2 linked regions of the Notamacropus eugenii genome follow. The protein of the gene in region 2 purifies or fractionates together with the protein of the main gene of each other region. This does not show direct contact. Links are inferred from orthologs where the notes say so. Each region holds a gene or a part of one and is shown on either strand. Other genes may lie near its edges.

Evidence for each region.
Region 1: the proteins of SLC7A1 (region 2) and HS2ST1 purify together in Homo sapiens (co-immunoprecipitation; 3 studies listed by BioGRID and IntAct, counting the BioPlex papers as one, with this or other methods). This does not show direct contact. The link is inferred for Notamacropus eugenii from reciprocal best matches to the Homo sapiens genes SLC7A1 and HS2ST1.

The regions. Positions count from the first base shown.
Region 1 is NC_092873.1:496,494,947-496,504,560, reverse strand, and holds the start of HS2ST1 (heparan sulfate 2-O-sulfotransferase 1), read right to left. Parts: upstream 3,533-9,614; 5' UTR 3,380-3,532; coding exon 3,256-3,379; intron 1-3,255. UniProt on the Homo sapiens protein: Catalyzes the transfer of a sulfo group from 3'-phospho-5'-adenylyl sulfate (PAPS) to the 2-OH position of iduronic acid (IdoA) or glucuronic acid (GlcA) within the heparan sulfate (HS) chain and participates in HS biosynthesis.
Region 2 is NC_092876.1:197,884,547-197,894,161, forward strand, and holds the start of SLC7A1 (high affinity cationic amino acid transporter 1), read right to left. Parts: upstream 3,968-9,615; 5' UTR 3,826-3,967; intron 3,211-3,825; 5' UTR 3,045-3,210; intron 1-3,044. UniProt on the Homo sapiens protein: High-affinity, low capacity permease involved in the transport of the cationic amino acids (arginine, lysine and ornithine) in non-hepatic tissues.

The sequences.
Region 1 (9,614 bases), on a different chromosome or scaffold from region 2:
AAAGGCCAGAGGTTCCACATTTGCAGATTTCCTCAAGGATGATAATTTAATAGAGCTTAAAGCATTTGAAGATTTTAAGCAACACACAAACTGAAAGGTCATGCATTTCCTGAGCTATGTCCATGGCACACTGAAATTACTTATTACATGCCTCAGTTTATCCCTGAAGGCCCTCATGTCCACTACTAGAGCCCTTCTGAAGGGTGTTCGTTGTCATCTCTGGCTATTCATGGTGGGACTGACGAATAGCCTTTTTTTCTAAAAATAATCCCCACATAGATGATGCTTCATAACACTTCCTGAACAAGATGGTATCATACACCCAAGAAAAATAAACATACCCACTTTACAGATAAATAGTAAGTCACATAGTTTGGCAGTCAGGAAGTCTGTTATAACTATAGTTAGTCTTTTCCACCTTTAAAACCACTCTAGAATCTACACTCAGGTGTTATTAAATACCTTCTTCAGACAAGAAAGGGAAATTAAAAGTTGAGTAACCATTCTTCTACTGTGTTTTATTAACATTCTGGAGGGCTTCAAGTTTGCAGTGTCTGCATGTGGCATACTAAGGATCTCATTTAAATTATGCAGAAGTAAAGTTTGCAAATACTTTTTGTTCATTAAAGCTAAATGAGGCAAATTAATATAATAATAGTAATAGATTACACTTGCAAAGCTCTTTGAGGATCTGTAAAACATGCTGCATACAGTATGTCCTTTGATCCTCAAAGTGAACCTGAAGTAGATACTGATAGGATCCCAATTACACAGAAGAGGTAACCTGGGCTGAGAGAGGCTGTCTAGTCTGAAGAGTCACAGATAGCGTCTGACACCAGATTAGAACTCAACGCTGTCATGCCTCCAAATCCAACTCTCTCCACTAAAGCAAGTTGCCTCCTATAAACTACAAAAATAAAACCATAGATATGCTAAAATTATAAAGGCAAAATGATATTCAATCAATAAGCATTTATTAAGCACCTTCTATGGACACTGTTCCAGGGAAGAGAAAGATGAAACAGTGGCTACCCTCAAGAAGCCTTCGATCTATGGAGGGTAGAGAAGATACACAAACATGGGTATGTACAAAAGAGAAGGTAATTTGGGGATCTAGGCATTAGTGGATAAAAGATGGGGAAGGGGGGCAGTTTTAGCTAAGCCTTGAAGGAAACGGATTCTAAAAGGCATGTTCTGTGCAGGAAAAAAAAGAAGGGAAAGGTCCATTGAGGCAGATGGGGCAATGCCATTAGATGGTAAAGAAGCTAAATTACTCACCTCACATGCAACACTTCATCACCTGTCTCTCTGTCTCTGCAGTTCCTCCCTCTTGGAATATACCCCCTCCTTACTTCTCTCTGTGTGGCTGAACAGAAGTGGGTATGAAGAGTAACACTGATGGAAAGGTAAGTGGGACCAGACTGTGAAGGACTTGAAATGTCAAAGGAGTTTATATCTGACCCACAGGTAACAGTGAATTGCAATTGCTGGCGTTTACTGAGACGAGCCATGTATGTCACCTTGGCAACTAAGCGGAGGATGGATTAGATGGGGAGAAACTTGAGGCAAGGAGACCAAAGAAAGGGCAATGGCAGGCGTCCAGGCAGGAGGGATGGGCTTGAACTGGGGAGCAGTTGTATGTGAGGGGAGAGAAGATGGATGTGAGATGTTGAGGTAGAAACTGATTTAAATCAAAACTTAGAAAATACTTTCTCTTACAGTCATTTCGTTGTACATCCTGATAACATCCAATTAAATGATGGCAGCGTCCCCACAACTACCTTCATATGTAAGTACAGAGAAGAAACAGAAATTGGTTTCAGTTCTTTTTCTAGTTTCTAAATACACCTCTTGTCACTCAAACACACTAGTATTTAATGTGCCTTATTACAATGATCTTTAAAACTTTCTGTAGCTTTCTACAGAATGTACTTCAATGACACTCCTGTGTCAGCTTAATTCAATTCCAATATCAAAGGCCTGTTATTGGCAAATGACTACATGTGGTACTGGAAATATAAAAACAAACTGTTTCAGTCTTGAAGAAACTTACATTCTGAGAGGGAAATTATTAAAATTCAAATGAGAAAGTTTTTCATTCTAATCTAACATTCAATGTACTCTACAACAACCCTGAACCTACCTAACAAGCAGCTTGGTGTGGTGGATAAAAAGCAAACCTAGAATTCGGAAGACCTTGGATTCAAACGCCACTTTTAACCCATCTCTCAGTATTCCAGGCAGCTCTCTAAGACCCCAGGTTGCAAACAAGGTGCTGACCCTCCAAAGGACTAGGGATTTTCCACACCCAAAAAGTTCCCCATACCAAAGAAATCACAAGTCCTACTCATTCCTAAACATGTATCTCCATAAGGTTTATTTTAACAGCTCCCTTTCTGTTCTTTATTCCAAGTGATGTACAATTTACCAAACCCTTTTATAAAGGGGAAGGAGGAGCACTCAATTCAAGTAGTTAGCCTAAGACACGTTTACATCTACCTAAATCGGTACCTTCGTGATTGTTTTGAAATGTAAATTTACAAACCAAAATACAGCCCAAAATTCAACTACAAGCCTACATTGAGTTTCTTCTCCAAGCATCTCCCCAAATAGCTAACACTTTTCTGTTCTTTTCACCCAGCCCACTAAAACTTCCTGCGTTCTCTTCAGACTTCCTGATGCTCGGGGGTCTCTGGGGTCCCCTTTCATCCATTTTATCCATCAGAAGGGAAGCTCCACGAGGGTTAAGGGGCTGTCTTTCTTTCTGCTTGTATTTCTACTGCCAGAGTGAAGTGCAGCGCCCGGCTCGTAGTAGGGGCTTCATCTCTCAACTTATTAATCCCCTCCCAACACCAATGCACACTCGCATTCTCTAGGAACTCGACCCAACGGAGTAAGTCACTTTGGGGGGATAGTCTGCTCTTGCCCTTCCAAAATCCAGCAGAAAGCGCTACGTTTGTCCGAGCTGGCCGCGGCTCCCGTCCGGCTCGGAAGCCCCTCGCGCCTCCATCACCCCCGAAGTCTCAGGACTCTGAGCCCCGGATCCGCGGCGCTTCGGGCGCCCCCTCCCCACGAGCTCCCCGGGCCCCACCGTGAAACCGACTCGGGTCCATTTCGCCGGCTCGGAGCCTCGGCTGCCGCCCCTCCAGCCTCCGGCCCCGGCTCCCCGCAGGAGGACTCCAGTGACCCCGAGACAGCCCCCGGGGGGACAGAGGCATGCCCCGCCGCAGCCCCGGGAGCGCCCCCGCCCCTCACCTAGCTTGGAGCGGGACTCTTCCAGCTTCTGTATCTGGTTCTCCAGAAAGAGCATCGCCACGGCGAAGGCCACCACCGCCAGCAGCTGCGTCTTGGGCGGCATCATAATCCTGAGGAGCCCCATGAAACCCGCCGCCGCCGCCGCCGCTGGGATCACGACATACCGCGGGGGGGCGGGGAGCGAGGCCCCGGGGGGCGGGGAGCGAGGCCCCGGGGGCCGGGGGGGGGGGGGGCGCCGGCAGGAGCGAGCCGGAGCCCCGAGGCCGGCGGAGCGGGAGCCGAGCGCCGCAGCAGCAGCTCCTTCCTGCCTTCCCTCCCTCCCACCACCCGCCCCCGCCCCCGGCCACCAACGCCGACGCCGCCTGCGCCCGCCGGGGCTCCTCAGCCTCGGCAGCCGCCGCCGACCGCAAGGCCCCCGCGCTCCGCCGCCCTCGGGCTCTCGCTTCTCCCAAGCCGGAGCAAGCCCGGCACCTTCCCGGCTCGCTCCCTCGCTCTGCTCACCCGCCTCCCTTCCCTCCTCCACTGCCTGCCTCCCTGCCGGAGCCCAGCTCCAGCACCAGCACCGAGGCTGCGACTGCGCCGCCCTCGGCCCCGCCCCCCCGCTTGGGCCCGCCCTCTCCCCAATACGCACTCACGCACGCAACTCAGCAGCCCCGCCTCCCGGCCTCAGCAAACACTCCGCCCTCCCTTCCCAACCTGTCCTCGCAGCCGCTATTGGACCCCGCCTCTGCCACCGTGTTTGTAGGGGGTCTTTCGCTCGAAATTACGATTGGTTTGCTCAGCTGCCATTAAAATTAGCGCAGGAGGTGATTGGCTGGCTAGGGAAGGAACGAGCGTTTAAGGGGCCCCTCAAAAGGAATAGATTTGTAGGGGTCCCAATAACGTGCCTGACCGTAGGGGAAGGCGAGCAAATCAAAAAGACTCTCGCACCCCCTTGATATTGCAGGCGGCCGCCCCCGGGAGTTTTGCAGCCCATCAGATGGCTCGGAAGTGGGCCGCTGTGCGCGGCGAGCTGAAAGCTAACGACACTGAGCGTCAGGCTCAACGCCGGCCACCCCAGCGGAGGGGCCTTCGGGCCACGTCAGGACCCTAGCATAACGGCGGCGATAGCGGCGATGGCGGTGAGCGCGCAGCGGGGTTTTGCTCCGGCGTTCGGGCTGCGGCTGCTGCTGGCGTCCGTGCTGCAAGCGGTGAGTGGCGGGTGCCTTCGTAGCTGCCTGGGGGCCCGGAGCGAGGGCCTGGGGACCCGGAGCGAGCCTTGGGAGCCGCGCCTGAGAAGGGCTACGTGGCGATATCCGGCCCCGCCTGGCCTCTCTCCTCAGTCTAGGCCAGGCCTCGTTCTTGCCCGCCTCCCCGGGCCCAGTCTGGCTATCGTCGTTGAGCTCTTTGAATCGCCTACTGTGTGCCAGTCCCTCTGTGCTAAAAGCTGGGGGTTAAAGAAAAAGGGGGGGGGCGGGCTATGTCTTCCTTCAGAGGGCTTACGGTCTAACAGGGAAGCAATAGGTAAATACGTACAAGTAAGAATTAGAAAGCGTAAATTAGAAACAGGAAAGCGCTTCATATAGAAGGTAGGATTTTAGTTGGACCTTGAAGAAAATGAAGTGACGGCATTCCAGGCAGGGGTCGGGAGGTGGAGCGTCTTGTGTGGTGAACCTCTAGAAGGGCCGTGTCACGGGGTCACAGTCCAGGAAGACTGGAAAATGGGGGGGCTCGTTATGAAGGGCTTTGAACCCCAAATAGAGTATTTCATATTTGATCGTGAAAGTAATAAGGAGCTGCTGGAGTTTGAGGGGTCACAGTCGATAAACATTAAGTGCCCGCTGTGTGCCCCATAAAATGCTGGGTGCTGGTCCTTACCCTCTAGTCTGTGGAAGGTATATAAGCATGTACAAATATAAACCAAAAAAGAAAATAATGTGAAGTGCTCATAACGTAGGGAGTCAGGAAAAGCATCGGGAGGTGGCACCTCAGCCGTCCTTTGAAGAAGCCAGAGATTGGGAGGGTGTTCCAGATGTGCAACGACAGGAGAGGAAGCTTTGGCTTGTTTGGTGTGTTGGAAACAGTTCTTATAGTGTAAACTTTCTGTCTCCCTGATACTTAGTAGCACTTACTCATTGGTGTGTTGGAAACAGTTCTCATAGTGTAAACTTTCTGTCTCCCTGATACTTTGTAGCACTTACTCATTGGTTGTGTTGTATTCAATCCATCCCGTCAATTCCCAGTAAGATTAAAGAATGTATCAGAAGTCGGGCAAGGGGCGGCTGACCCACTAGAATTCTAAGGCAGCTTCTCTGAGACCCAGAACCACGCTGGCTTGCCTCCTTGGTAGAGAAGAGATCTAAATCTTTCAGTTCTTCTAACCTTCCTAATCTCATCCTACCAGCTCCTTCTGCCCTTTGGCTTCATTTCAACTAATTCCCTTTTCATTCTCTTCTTGGGACTTGCCCTGCCCTTCAAAATGAATAGATTGCAGCTAAAATTTCTGATTTTAAACGCCAAATGCTTGAATAAGTGCTTGACTTAAAAAATTAAGCACCTAAATGTAAAGTGTGTAGTTGTAGTAGTAATATCAGCAGCTCACCCTAGTCTTGCACTTAATGATTCCAAAAATACTTTTTGCAGAGTGACTTATTGCTGTTCTTTCTCTAACCTCCCCTCCTTCCCAGTGCCTCTTGCTCCACTCCTCCCCTACTCCAGTAGAACACTCCCTTGTACACTGAGTGTCCATTTAAGCATACTAAAGCAACATGGCCTTGTCTGGATGCCTCACATCCCACTTGTAGTCTGCCACCTTTCGGCTTTAAAGCAGGAGGCGTGGGTTATTGATAGTCCTCTGAAGTTATGGTTGGTCAGACATCGATCTGAATTCAGAAATCGTCCACCCTTGTTTTTCTCTACATACTGGTAGTCATTTTGTATTTTCTCCTGGTTCTTCACCCTTACTCTTCATCACTTTTTCTCAAGTTTCTCTGAGTTCATGTTTCTTACAACCCAGTAAGATTACAGAAGTCTCACTCTCTTTCTGTTATGCCACACTTAACTTTTCCACATTGAAAAGTGAGTACACATATACACACAGTACTCAAAATGCCTCAAGTTTTTTTGTTTTGTTTTTTGTATTCCAATAAATACCCATATATAGAAAATTTAGATTTGTCTATGCAATTGAAACATTGCTGCCTGCCATGAGCTTAGTAGAACACAGTTTTAAGAAGTGTTTCTTAAAGGAGGGGGAAGTAAATGTCTCAGTATTGAGGCAGTTAATACCAGGAAGGTTCCTTGATGTGATCCAAGTTAAGAGGTTTTTGGGTAGCATCAGGTTACTGTTTACACAGTATGAGAAAGCTGAACTTTCTTCTTCTTCCGTTCGTACCTTCCTGCCCTTTAAATGATGCTGCCACCCCAAAGGAACAAAATCTGAAGTTGCTTACCGTATTTTGATCTTGTGGTAGTAGAATAATATGCACCATGATGGAATAGAGCTGCTCTGCTTGGGGAATCAAGGGACAGCAGTTCTTTGTAGCATGGCTACCTAGTACATGTGAACTTGGCAAGGCATTTAATCTTGTGGGGTCTCCGTTTCTCTATAAAATCTGCGGGTTAGACAGTTATTAGTTGGACTACTAAAGGCAACTAAAGATTATCTTTAAGGTTTCTTCCAGCACTAAATAATATGATCCTAGGAAGTAGGTAATTATAGAACCTTTTGAAAAAGTGAGTTAAATGACATTTGAAGTGAACCAGTCTTAAAATTTTATCCTGATATCACTCACCCTTAACACTCCTTTTTTCTTGTAACTTTCATCCTTCTTTTCCGTTAATACCAAAAGGCCATACACTTTCCTATGAATTCTTTGAAATTCAGTAAGTTATAACTCATAATAGTCCAACCTCATTTTGTTCAAGACCTACTTAATTTATGTCATAGGCGTAAAATTACAACTAAATAAAATCTGTCTTTAAGAGTCTTTAGTGGTACAAATAAGATCAATTTATGTCAATAAATGCTAAATGTGATTCTCTCCAAAGCAAGAATTGAGTTTGAGGTTTCTTTTTTGAAAATTGAAATCTAAAAATACTGGTACTCTGAAATTTTAGGTAATAATCAAAATTATTTAAAGACTATACATTTTTTTTACTCTAGATATGTTTGGGAAATATCTAGCATCAAAGTGCTAGATAAATGTGAAACACTACTATTATTATTACATACAGTTTCACAACCAACTGGACATCAAAATGTTTGCCTAAGCTTGGTCTGGAGCTAAATTTTCCCCTGAAGAACAACATTAGTTACTTAACCTCCAGAATGTTCACCCTTTCTCTTTGTCACTAGCTAAAATTTGGACAGCGTTGTCACAAGGATAAATGGCCAGTCTGTATTCTGGTGGTAGTTTTGTAAGAGTGTCTCTGTGGTTTTCTAGGGTCCTTGAAATTACAGTAAATTGCTGCTTCCTTCACTTTGGTTCCCAGAGTGCTGTGTTTTAAGGTAGAATGCCTAGATGCAGAAGTGAAGAGCCGTAAATCCCAAACTAATGGTTCTTTAAAGTTAACATTTGAGAAAGTGGACTCTTGTGCCCCATGAAGTGGCTACTTTTCTGAAAGCACATTCTAAGTGTTCTTAATCTTCAGGAATGGAAGTATTCAGTGTGACCTAGGGGAGCTGTTTTCCTCAAATTTGAATTATACAAATCAAACTATCATCTCAATCTCAGACAATTTGTGGATGGATGTTCTTATAACTGTAAAAACAAAACTCTAGAAATCATGATGTCTGTATTATAATCCAGAGCTCTTTTTGTTCCCTTCCAAACAAATGTAAGCATACAGGGAAATGGTTAACTGAGGTTTCTAGTCATGTATATGGATTAATGTTTATACCATTAACATCTTTAAGGAAAAAAAATACCTCAAACACTTTAGTCTCTTTCTAGAAATAATCAGTAAATCTAGTCTTTTACAAAAGAGTTGACTTTACAAAGCTAAAAGATACCTTTGAATACTAAATAAGATTACATGATTTAATGATGACATTGTATTTTTAGCCCTCCCTTCACTCACTCACTCTTTTGTTAAGTCATTTTTCAGTCATGTCTGATTCTGTGACCCCATTTGGGGTTACCTTGACAAAGATACTGGTGTAGTTTGCAGGTTTGTTCTTCAGCTCGTTTAACAGATGAGGAAACTGAGGCAAACAAGGTTGAGTGACTTGCTCAGGGTCCCATAGCTAGTAAGCATCTGAGGCCAGATTTGAACTCAGGAAGATGAGTCTTCCTGACTTCTGTCCCAGTGCTATGCACCATGGCGCCACCTAGCCGCCAGACTTCAGCCAGACTGGTTTATTTGCTGTTCCTGCTTTCTCCATTCCATGTCTTGGCACAGGCAAAATTGATGCAATGCTGAATGCTCCATGCTAGGAATATACTGTCCCCTCACCCCCCCTGATTGGCATCTCCAGCTTTCTTCAAAGCTCTGCTCAAGTACCACCTTGAGCAAGAGGTCTTTACTGACCCCCTCAGCTACTAGTAGGGCCTATTCCCACAAAGTAAAAACAGTTTACTTTCTATTTATTTATGTGTAGACATACACATCATGTTTATGTGCCCCAGCCCCTTGCACAGTGCATGGCATATTACTAGTCACAGAGTAAATGTTTATTGATTTGTGCATATTTTGGATTAGGTTAAATTCATTTAAATCATTTAAAATTTTGTTCAGGAGAATAAGTAAATCACAACATGTAGCAAATTTAGATATCCTGATGATATATTGAAAAGCCTTTGTTCTATATTTTAATATGATTCTGTAAAAAGTAATTACAGATTTTTCTTTGAGGACCTACGTCTGGTCTCAGCAGAGATTAACAATCAGAAAAGAAACATTTAGTAAATGTCTGCTTTGCCCAAAGTGCTGGGCCAGGTTCTGTGGAACTTGCAAAATGTGGCTAAAACACCGTCCCTGACCTTGGAGCTTCCAGAGCTAGACTGTGCATGCCAAGGGGAGAGAGACAGACACATTTCATGTTTTCAGTTGAAGTTATAGTTGAAAGTACTATAAGCTTTTTTCATATATTTTTAGAGCCCTCTCTTCCTTCAAGATGCAGCTATTATCCCCTCCATCTCCAACCACCTTATGTTTATTTTGTAGGTATTTATTCACATATACGCATTCACCCCCACCCCCACATTTCTCCCCCTATGTGGAATGTAGGCTTTTTGAGAGTAGAGGCTCTTCCATTCTTTGGATTCCATCATGCCAGGCCCAGAATAGGTGTTTAGTAAACACTTATTGGTTGAATGTGTTCCCTGTGTCTTTTCAGATATCTGCACAAGGATCTGAATTATCCTCAGAAGCATGCA
Region 2 (9,615 bases):
TCTCAGATCAGTAGAGGTGTGTGGAGCCCATTTTAGCATATTCATATACTCAGGTAAGGGACATAGTTCTGGCCATGTCCTAAATAGAGGACTGAGTTTACCATAATCTCTGGCTCCAGCGAACAATTCAAGGAGCAAGAGAATTGCACAAGGTTTAAACATAACTACTATCAATCCTATGGGGAATCATAGGAGAAGGGGAAAATACCCAGACTGGCATAGAAGAGAGAAGCTCCCAGGTCTAGCATGATGAGGTCAGGAAAGCTAGGAGAATGCAGAAGCCATGCATGAGAAAGCCCCAGGAAGAGATTATCAGCTCCAGCCCTCCCGCCTTATGATAGGTGACTGATTAATGTTAGGCTGATAACTAAGATGGTCTTATATTCAACCAAAGTCTTTCTCAAAGGTTCTTCCAGGACTGCGCCATCTTTACCCAACCTACTAAGCTACTTCCACCAAGATCACGATCTCCTAATGGTAGCTATAGTTGTAACAAAGGAGGTGATGGGGGTTCTCTACTGGTAATACAGGGGATTAATTTATCCTATATATATGTGTGTGTGTATGTATGTACGTATATCAACAAGTTGTTTTCCTCAATAGAATTTAAGTACACTGAAGGTAGGAGCTACTTCATTTTTGTCTTTATACCCCAACAACTAACACACAATAGGCATTTAGTCAACATTGAGCAGAAGCTGAACTTAGTCAGAAAATCAAGAAAAGCATTTATTCTCTGTGTGACTTTCCAGCAAATGATATATATGACTTTCATATAGTGGAGCCTCAGATTTTTTCATCTGTAAAGTTAAGGGGTAAATGCCTCTAAGTTTCCTTCTGACTCAACCTATTATCTATGGTGCATGGTATAAATATTCATCATAGAACATAGTCATTCAGTTGTACCCTACTCTTTGTGACCTCATTTGGCGTTTTCCTGGCAAAGATACTGCAGTGGTTTGTCATTTCCTTCTCTGACTCATTTTACAGATAAGGAAACTGAGGCAAGCAGGGTTACAGGACTTTCCCAGGGTCATGTCTGAGGTCAGACTTGAACTCAGGAAGATGAGTCTTCCTGACCCCAGGCCCAGAACTCTATCTACTGCACCAACTAGACACCATCATGAAACACAGTAGACTCTTAAATGTTTGATGAATGAATGGAATGACAAGTGTTAAAATTCTGACTAGAACTCAGGTCTTTGTGCTGTAAGTACTCTTACCTGATTGATGGATCAATCAACAAGCATTTAATAAGCACCTACCATATGCCAAGCACAGTGCTAAGCAATAGAGATAGAATGTCAAAAAAAATGACGCATTCCCTGGGACCAAGGAAGAAGCTGAGGGGGTAAAAGGTGTGAGAACACAGCAAAGAGTGAGTGCCAGGACTTCAAGAAGAATGTGCATAAACAGTGCTAGCCTTGGAGGAAAAGGACCTACATTTAAAAAATCAAGTCTAGCTCTCTTAGAATGAACACTTCATTTCCACCCCCAGTCCCCCAAGTGCCCTAGCCCCTAACACTGTGTCCAACAGACAGTAGGACCTCAATAACTGCCTGCTAAATTGCAAGGAATATAAACTAGGTAAGGCTGACTTTCCTCAAAAACAGGAAATAAGTCTGGAAAAAATGTCAAGTTCTAATATAAATGAAATATTAAATGTGACCCTGAGACTAGAGTGAGTTTCTCATTGTCTCTAACATCCTAATTTTCTATTATGTTATAGGTTAACACAAAAATCCAAAGATTAAAATGAGGGAAAGTGCCCATGGATAAGAGATTCACTTTCCTGTCTAAGCAGGCACACTTCCTATTTCAAACTCTTCACTGGATTAAATAAACCCATATTCTTTCTAGGACATTTGATGGATTGAATGGTATAGAAATGATCCATTTAAAAATCTGGAATCTCAAAAATAGGCAAAACTAATTTTCAAAGTACTTGATTTAAGACACTACGGATAGTAACTCCTATCACTCCCCTAATCACTGGTAGAGAGACCTCTTTACAAATAGTTAACATATGTCTCTCTTAGAATTCAAGCTCCTAGGGTCAGAGACCTGACCTGTCTTTCAAGTTTGTTTTCCGTGGAGCTGGGCACCAAATGCTTGACAGGCATTTAATAAATACCATTGCGATCCACTTTTCAGGTAATTAAACTACGACCCATTATTTAACAAAACCTGTCCTATGTCTTTTCATGCCGTCATTATTACATTTCCATTTACAATTTCCTCGATTAATCTGCAAATTGTTATCTTATTTTTTTTTTAGTGGATAATATAACCTTGTGACAAATCAGGTTCAACTTCAAAATATTTTGTTTTATTTGGCCCTTTTTGTCTACCAAGTTTCAGGTCTAGAATGAAAACTCTTTAAGCTCTTTTGTTTTAATGACAAAAGGGTGTTTCCATAAAGACGACGCTGTTTTCCACTGAGACCAACTGAAAATGTCATGGGAATAAACAGAGCACAGTTGCAATTATTTAAGCAAATACACTGGGCTAGATGCTTGAAGATAAAATGGAACGACTAATTAAAGTTCCACATGAAAACATTATGAAAAGGAAAACAATGTAGGTCGTATTTCAGTCGTAAAAAGTTAAATGTAAAACTGGACAACCTTCTCCTCTACCTACGCATGGAAACCAAACCCAAGTCACCGGCTTTTACTACTTCTGAAAGCATGGCAGTGTGAGTTCATGAGTAAACGTAGCTCTTTTACAGAAAGCACATGCTCCTTGTCCTAATCAAATAAAGTTAAACTCCTACCTTCCACACCCACTGAAAAGGGGAAGAGACTAAAGCTGTTCATAGAAGTAGTAAAACAAAAGCCGTAATTACGGTGGCCCGTCCTTTGCACAGGCAAGTTTTTTAATCATAATCTAACTTGAGTGTGTGGAGTTTTATCGGGCATAAAAGAAAATGAGAACGATACGTAAAGTTGGGGCAGGTTACCCACTCACCCACCCGCCACCAGCCGTGAAAGTTAGAGCTACGTAGGCCTTTGGGAGTCCAACTAGAGAGTCCATGAGCCCACCTAGGGAGATCTTCCTGGACGGAACAAAATGGAGAGGGGCACAGGGCGACCTTGGCTTAGAGACCAGGTGCAGGTGGTGGCCGCGGATGCAGAGACAGCTGGGGTTGGGTTCCGTATGGAGCTCCTCCGGAAGGCCGCCCACCTGATTCGGGATAACCCCGGGTGGCTGGAGAAGGAGAGAATAAAGGGAGGAAATGGGAGCCACGGCAGCAGCGCTGGGTGACACATCCCTGGGCCTCGTGGCGGGGTGAGCCGTGCAGAGCGCCATGTAAGGGAAGGTCCCTCCCGAGAGCCACACCAGTCTGGTGATGCCTTTAACCTGTTCAGCCCGGGGACGGTGCCCACCCTCCGTGCTCCCTACGCATCCCGGCTCCCGGGGGTCGCGGGGACCCACCCCGCGGAGGAAAGGGGGAGGGCACCGTGAAGCGCCCGGCTGTCCACGCTTCCTTAGTATACATATTGCATCATACACCACGCTGCTCCTTTAAGGAAGCAAAATGGACTCCGCGGCGCACGGAGTGCATGTGGAGCCAGCGCGCATCCCCATGGTTCCCGTACCCCGGGGTGCTGGACCCAAACCTCTCTGGCCCCGAAGCCGTCCCACCGCCCAGGTCCTCCCTCCGGAGGATGCAAAAGCCCCAGCCGGCGGGCGGGGGCCCTTCCTGCTCCAACATATGCGCCCTTCTCCATCCCCTAGCCCCGCCAGTGCCTGGGCACCCAACCAAGGTGACCCCAGACTGGAGAACAGCCCGAAAGGAGAGCGGAGGCACTGGTCACTCACCGCGCAGGGCGGCTGTCAAGGGAGCCCGCCTGGGTGGAGGCGGGATGCGGCGTGCCGGGGCGGGGAGAGCCTGGGAGGGATGGATGGATGGAGGTGTTGCCACTGTGGCCTGTCACGGGGTCCCCAGGAGGAAGATGCGTGACCGGGGCGGGTGTCCCGAGGAGGATGCTGGCGGGCAGTGCGCGCTGTGGCTGCCTCTGCTGCGGAGCGGAGCTGCGTGGCACGCGCGGCAGTTTCCCCGTCTACTCTCAGCTGCCCAGCTCCCTCTCTTTACACCTCCGAGCTCCAGGCACCGCCTCCCAGGCCCCCGCGCTTCACTGAATGAAATCGGAGGTCGGACGAAATCCAGGGGCTGGGTTTCATCAGACACGCGCAGACTCCACCCGCCCAGCTCCCCGCGCCCTCCTCTCTCCCCACACTAACACACTTACACCCCAGCCCGGGGCTGGCCCACCCGCCAGCTGTAGCGTCACCCGGGCTCTGGCGCCAATGAGAGGCTCGGCGGGAGAGAATGAAGAGGGGAGCCCCAGAGGAAGGAAAGGAAAGATGGAGGAGGGAGGCGGGCAGATAACGAGGGGTGGAGGCGTGGCTGGCATCTCCTTAGCCCACAGATCTCCACCCGGAGACGCGCATTGGGCGGAGACTGGCACTCGAGCGCTTGTCCTGGACGCGGGCCCGGACTGACCCCTCGCTGGGGTCTCTCCTCCGCGCTCGGTCGCCTCTGCAGCTTGGAGACCCTGAGCTCAGACTGCAAGTCGGCACTGCAGAGAGACTGTCCCAAGCCGGGCCTGCTGGCTATTAACCTTGACTTATCCCAAAGCGCTGTCAAGGAGAGGCCGAGCTAGCTCTCGGGCGTGCTCTGCTGCGCTACAATGTTTCATAGCCCCTTCTCCCGCCCACCCTCCCCTTTAAAAGGGAGTGAGCATCCCTTTCCGCAGCGTTTGCAGGTCTCTGCGCAGAGCCGCAGGCAACAATGACAGTTGTGGAGACAGAGAAGGCCTGGGCACTGCCTTGCCATAGGTTTCACCACTGTGCCAGCCTCGTCGTTTGTACTCACCTCCAGCACCCAGCACAATGACTGGCACGTAGAGGTGACTAATAAATGATTGATAATAAGAGATGACTGCTTTTTTGTATCCCATCTGGCGGCACAAACTTCATACATGCCCACTGACCTTTTAAAGCTATATTTCATTCTACTTTGAGGCAGATATGAGGCGCCTATGCTAGATGATTCTGCCTCTCATTAGATCCTGGAACTGACTGAATGGAGGGGACCAAGTTTGAGGTCTTTCCCAATTCCTGCCCTCAGGCTAAGGGACTTCAGCATATACATGGATTCTTTTTCAAATACCCTGGGACAAATACTTCCAGGACTGCAGGAGTGAGTTATCGGGTATTTGAAAGAATCCATATGCACCCAGGGCCATCTCCAGTCAGGACCCATATGGCTCCAGAGGAGAAAGTGAGGCTGCTGACTTTGCACAGCCTTGCCTCACTTAAATCCAATTCACTTGCATGGCATGGCCTCACCTCCAGAACAAACAACTACTACTCGGTTCTTGAACACACTCACCTCCCGGATGAGCTATTGCTACACTCAACCACAGTCACACACAAAGATGATCATACACCTGGTCTTACCATCACTCACAAATGTACCACCTTTGTGTTCAAGAATTCTAAAATCCCCTTATTCAGTCATAGCCTTTTTGGTTTTTCACTTCTCTCTCTGTTTTCGCTTTCAAAACCTTGCTCAAACTGCACTGTAACTTCCTGTCACTGACCATTACATACTCCACCAGGCCATCTCCTCTGCACTAGCCACTCTTTACTTTTTTCCCCAACTTGATGCCTTGGGGAACAAATTCAACTCTACACTGTCTTCCTCTCTTGGAATCTTTAGCCCCCTTATTATATTGCCCAGCCAAGCCTCAACCTTCCTGCTGTTATTTCCTATTCTCTCTCTCTCTCTCTCTCTCTCTCTCTCTCTCTCTCTCTCTCTCTCTCTCTCTCTCTGTCTTTCTCTCTGTGTATATCTATATGTATAATGTATACATGTGTGTATATATATATACACACATGTAAATATATGCTTTTTATATATTGTTTCCATGTTGTTTCCCCCATTATACTGTAAACTCCTGCCTCTTTTTTGTATCCCTAGTGTTTAGCACAGTGCCTGCTACACAGTAGGTACTTAATAAATGTTTACTGATTGATGGAGGTGCCCAGCACTTAATAGACTTATTCATAAAGAAAAATTTAATAAGCATGTGTTGATTGAATATTTAGTGATATTTCCAGATGCCTTGAGAGGGCAGGGAAATTTTTTTCATTGCATCTTTATTATCTAGCATAGTTCCTGAACCTAGTCAGTAATTGATTAAATTGCTGAATTGAATCAAAGCCTTGTTATATTATATAAAAACAGCAATATTCCAAGCATTTATTAGGCTACAATAACCAGCAACCAATATTCCAGAATATCCCAGATATTATTAGTTCTTGAGCACCTAGAAAGATAATTTTAAAAAATGATAGAACTGAGAGGTGGAAGATAGGGTTACAGCTTAGCGGGGAAGCAATAGAAATTAAGGCCCTTCTGTCAAGAGAAGAAAATGTAAACCATCACTATCCCAAGAAGCCCTTGGTTACTTGTGTTAATGAGAAAGGGAGGAAGATAGAAAAGTTGAGATCTCTTTAACTAGGTTGACAATATGCTGGGAGAGCAAGCACTTCAAGTTTATCTTTGTCCTGCTCCTTTATGTTAGATTGTTGACACTTATTCAGTTCCATTCTTCTAGTACCTATTTCACTCCCTAACAATAAATTAGATGCCTTGGAAAGCTTATTAACTCTTTCACCAACCGTTAACTTAAATCTTGGAGCAGAGATTTTAAAATTGTAGTTTACATTAAACCCAAAGGGTACAAGTCCATTGTCCAAAATGTCCATAATCCTATTGAGATAATCCAGAAACTCCCAAGTGATTTAGTCAATAAAGTTACTAAACTTTTTATGTACCCTTAGAGAAGAAAAGTTAATCTCTATTTTATTTTTTATGCATGTATGCATGAAAAATCTAGAATTTATTTCCTTTCATATTTACTGGTGGCATAGCAAAATTTACTGAAAAGTGAAAGATATGGGGAACAATAAAAATTGGGAGCTCCTATCATAGGGAGTTGTTTGAAGCAAAGAGATATAGTGACTTACTTTTATTTACTTCTCAATTTTTAAAATGTGTATTATTTATTTTTAACATACTTCTCTTCTTAAATTTTGAGTTCCAAATTCTCCCCCTCCTCCTTGCCTCATCCCCACCCATTGAGAAGGCAAGCAACGTTCTATCAATTATCTATGTAAAATTATGCAAAGCATATTTCCACATTAGCCATATCACAAAAAAGAGCAAAAAAAATTATACTTTAAATTACACTCAGAATTCACCCATTCTCTCTCTCTCTCTCTGGAGGTGGCTAGCATTTTTTCATCATGAGTCCTTTGGAATCATCATGGACCATTGTATCGATCAGAATAGCCAAGTCTTTTACAGTTTGATCATTACTACAACATTGTTGTTATGATGCACAATGATCTCTTGATTCTTCTCACTTCAATTTGCATCAGTTCATATAAGTCTTGCCATGTTTTTTTTTTTTTTCTGAAACCACCCCCTTCATCATTTCTTACAGTACAGTAGTAATCCATCACAATCATATGCCACAATTTGGTCAGCCATTCCCCAATTGATAAACATCCCTCAATTTCCAATTCTTTAGCACCACAAAAAGAGTGGCTACAAATATTTTTTACATATAGGCAGTGACTTACTTGCAATCACACTGCTAATATTTATCAGAGGCAGGACCTGAGTCTTCCTCTCTCCCTGTTTTGAACTCTCATTGGTCTAGTTCTGTATTTGTAACCTCTGTTTCCAAATGTCTCTTTAGAGAAATTATTACAGGCTCTTTTAAGCACAGAAAAGCTTGAAGAGTAACCATTGCCATTCAATGCAGAAGAGCTTATTTTCCTGTCACAGCTAGAGAAAGACCAAATAAAATAAGTTTTCTCTGGCTAGTCTAGTCCCCACCCCCAACCTGGAAGACTTTTCCTCTTCAACTCTGCTTACTATCCTGCCTGGCTTCCTTTAAATCCCAACCAAAATCTCATCTTCTACAGGAAGTCTTTCCCAAATCCTCTTAATTATTTCCTATGCATTCTTTATATAACTCGTTTTGTATATATTTGTTGGCATGTTGTCTCTTCTATTAGACTATAAACTCCTTGAGAGCAGGAACTATATTTTGCTTCTTGAATCCTCAGCTCTTAGCATAGTGCCTGGCACATAGTAGGTGCTTAAGAAATTGATTGAGAATAGTGAAAATTCTTTATGAAACTTATAACCTTTATCTTGAGGATTTTTTCTGTCTCAAAACAAATATTTTTCTGGCCAGTTATTTGTTATGCTGGATAAATAGTATGAGACTATTCTCAAAAGAGAAGACAAGTCATCCGCAGTAGCAGTGAGAGTTTGAAGTGGCTAGTCATTCTCACAGATAAAATATTGGAAATAAGTATCTATGTCTATTATTAATTGAATCATTAACAAATAGTATATTCAGTGACTTTATTATTACTTGTTTGTTCTTAGGAAGGAACAGGAAATAATAATTTATTAAAAGCCTACTATAGGCTAGACATTGTACTAAATAATTAGAAATATTGTTTAATGTAATAACTGATTAAGGAATCAAACTTATAGTTACCAGTGATCTCTTAATTACTAAATTTTATGCGCTTTTTTGAGTCCCCATCTTTCTAGATCTATTTACTCCAGCTGGCACCGTTGACCACAATTTTCTCCTGAATATTCTCTGGCTTTTGTGTCACCGCTCAATTCTGGCTCTCTTTCAACCTGTCTAATCACTCCTTATCGATCTCCTTTGGTGGTTCATCAACCATACTGTGTCCCCTAACTGTGGGTATTCCTCAAGGCTCTCTTCTGGATTTCTCTCTATCTCTCTGTCTGTATCTTTCCCACTGCATCCTGGATCATCTCCAGTCATCCTGATCAATATCTGGCCACTGGACCCAGATGGCTCTGGAGGAAAAAGTGAGGCTGGTGACCTTGCACAGTCCTCCCTCACTTAAATCAAAGTCAATTGCAAGTCATATCATCATCTCCTTGAAGTCATGGTCCTCTTCGAGAAGGAAGGACAAACTGCAACCACACATATATATTCTTTCTTTTAGTATTGTCATCAGTTTCCATGGATTTAATTATCTTTCTATGTTGTTAGCAGAATTCATATGTAATTATCCTTGGTTGGTGGTCATCCTTCATTTTCTAAGAGGACCAAAATGACATCACCATGATAAAGTGAAGTTTCAGTGTGACCAGCTATGGCTGATCACACCAATATGAGCTCGATATGCTCTACCACAGACTGGGCACAGGTAGTCTGTATGAATATTTATGGTGGATACTCCAAATTTGCGCAACCTACATTTACTTTGTACTCATATTCTCAATTCTGCTTTGCTCATAGAGCACAGCACCTTTTGTGATGTGCACATGCCATGCTAGGCGGTCCTGTGCAGTGTCTCTCATGTTGCACAGTCAATTCCACAATTCTTGAGAGAGACCTTGAGAGTGTCCTTGTATTGCTTCTTCTGACCACCATGTGATCTCCTGCCCCATGTGAGTTTTCCATAAAATAGTCTTTTTGGCAAGCGTGTATTTTGCATTCGAACAACATGGCTAGCCCATTGTAGTTGTGCTGA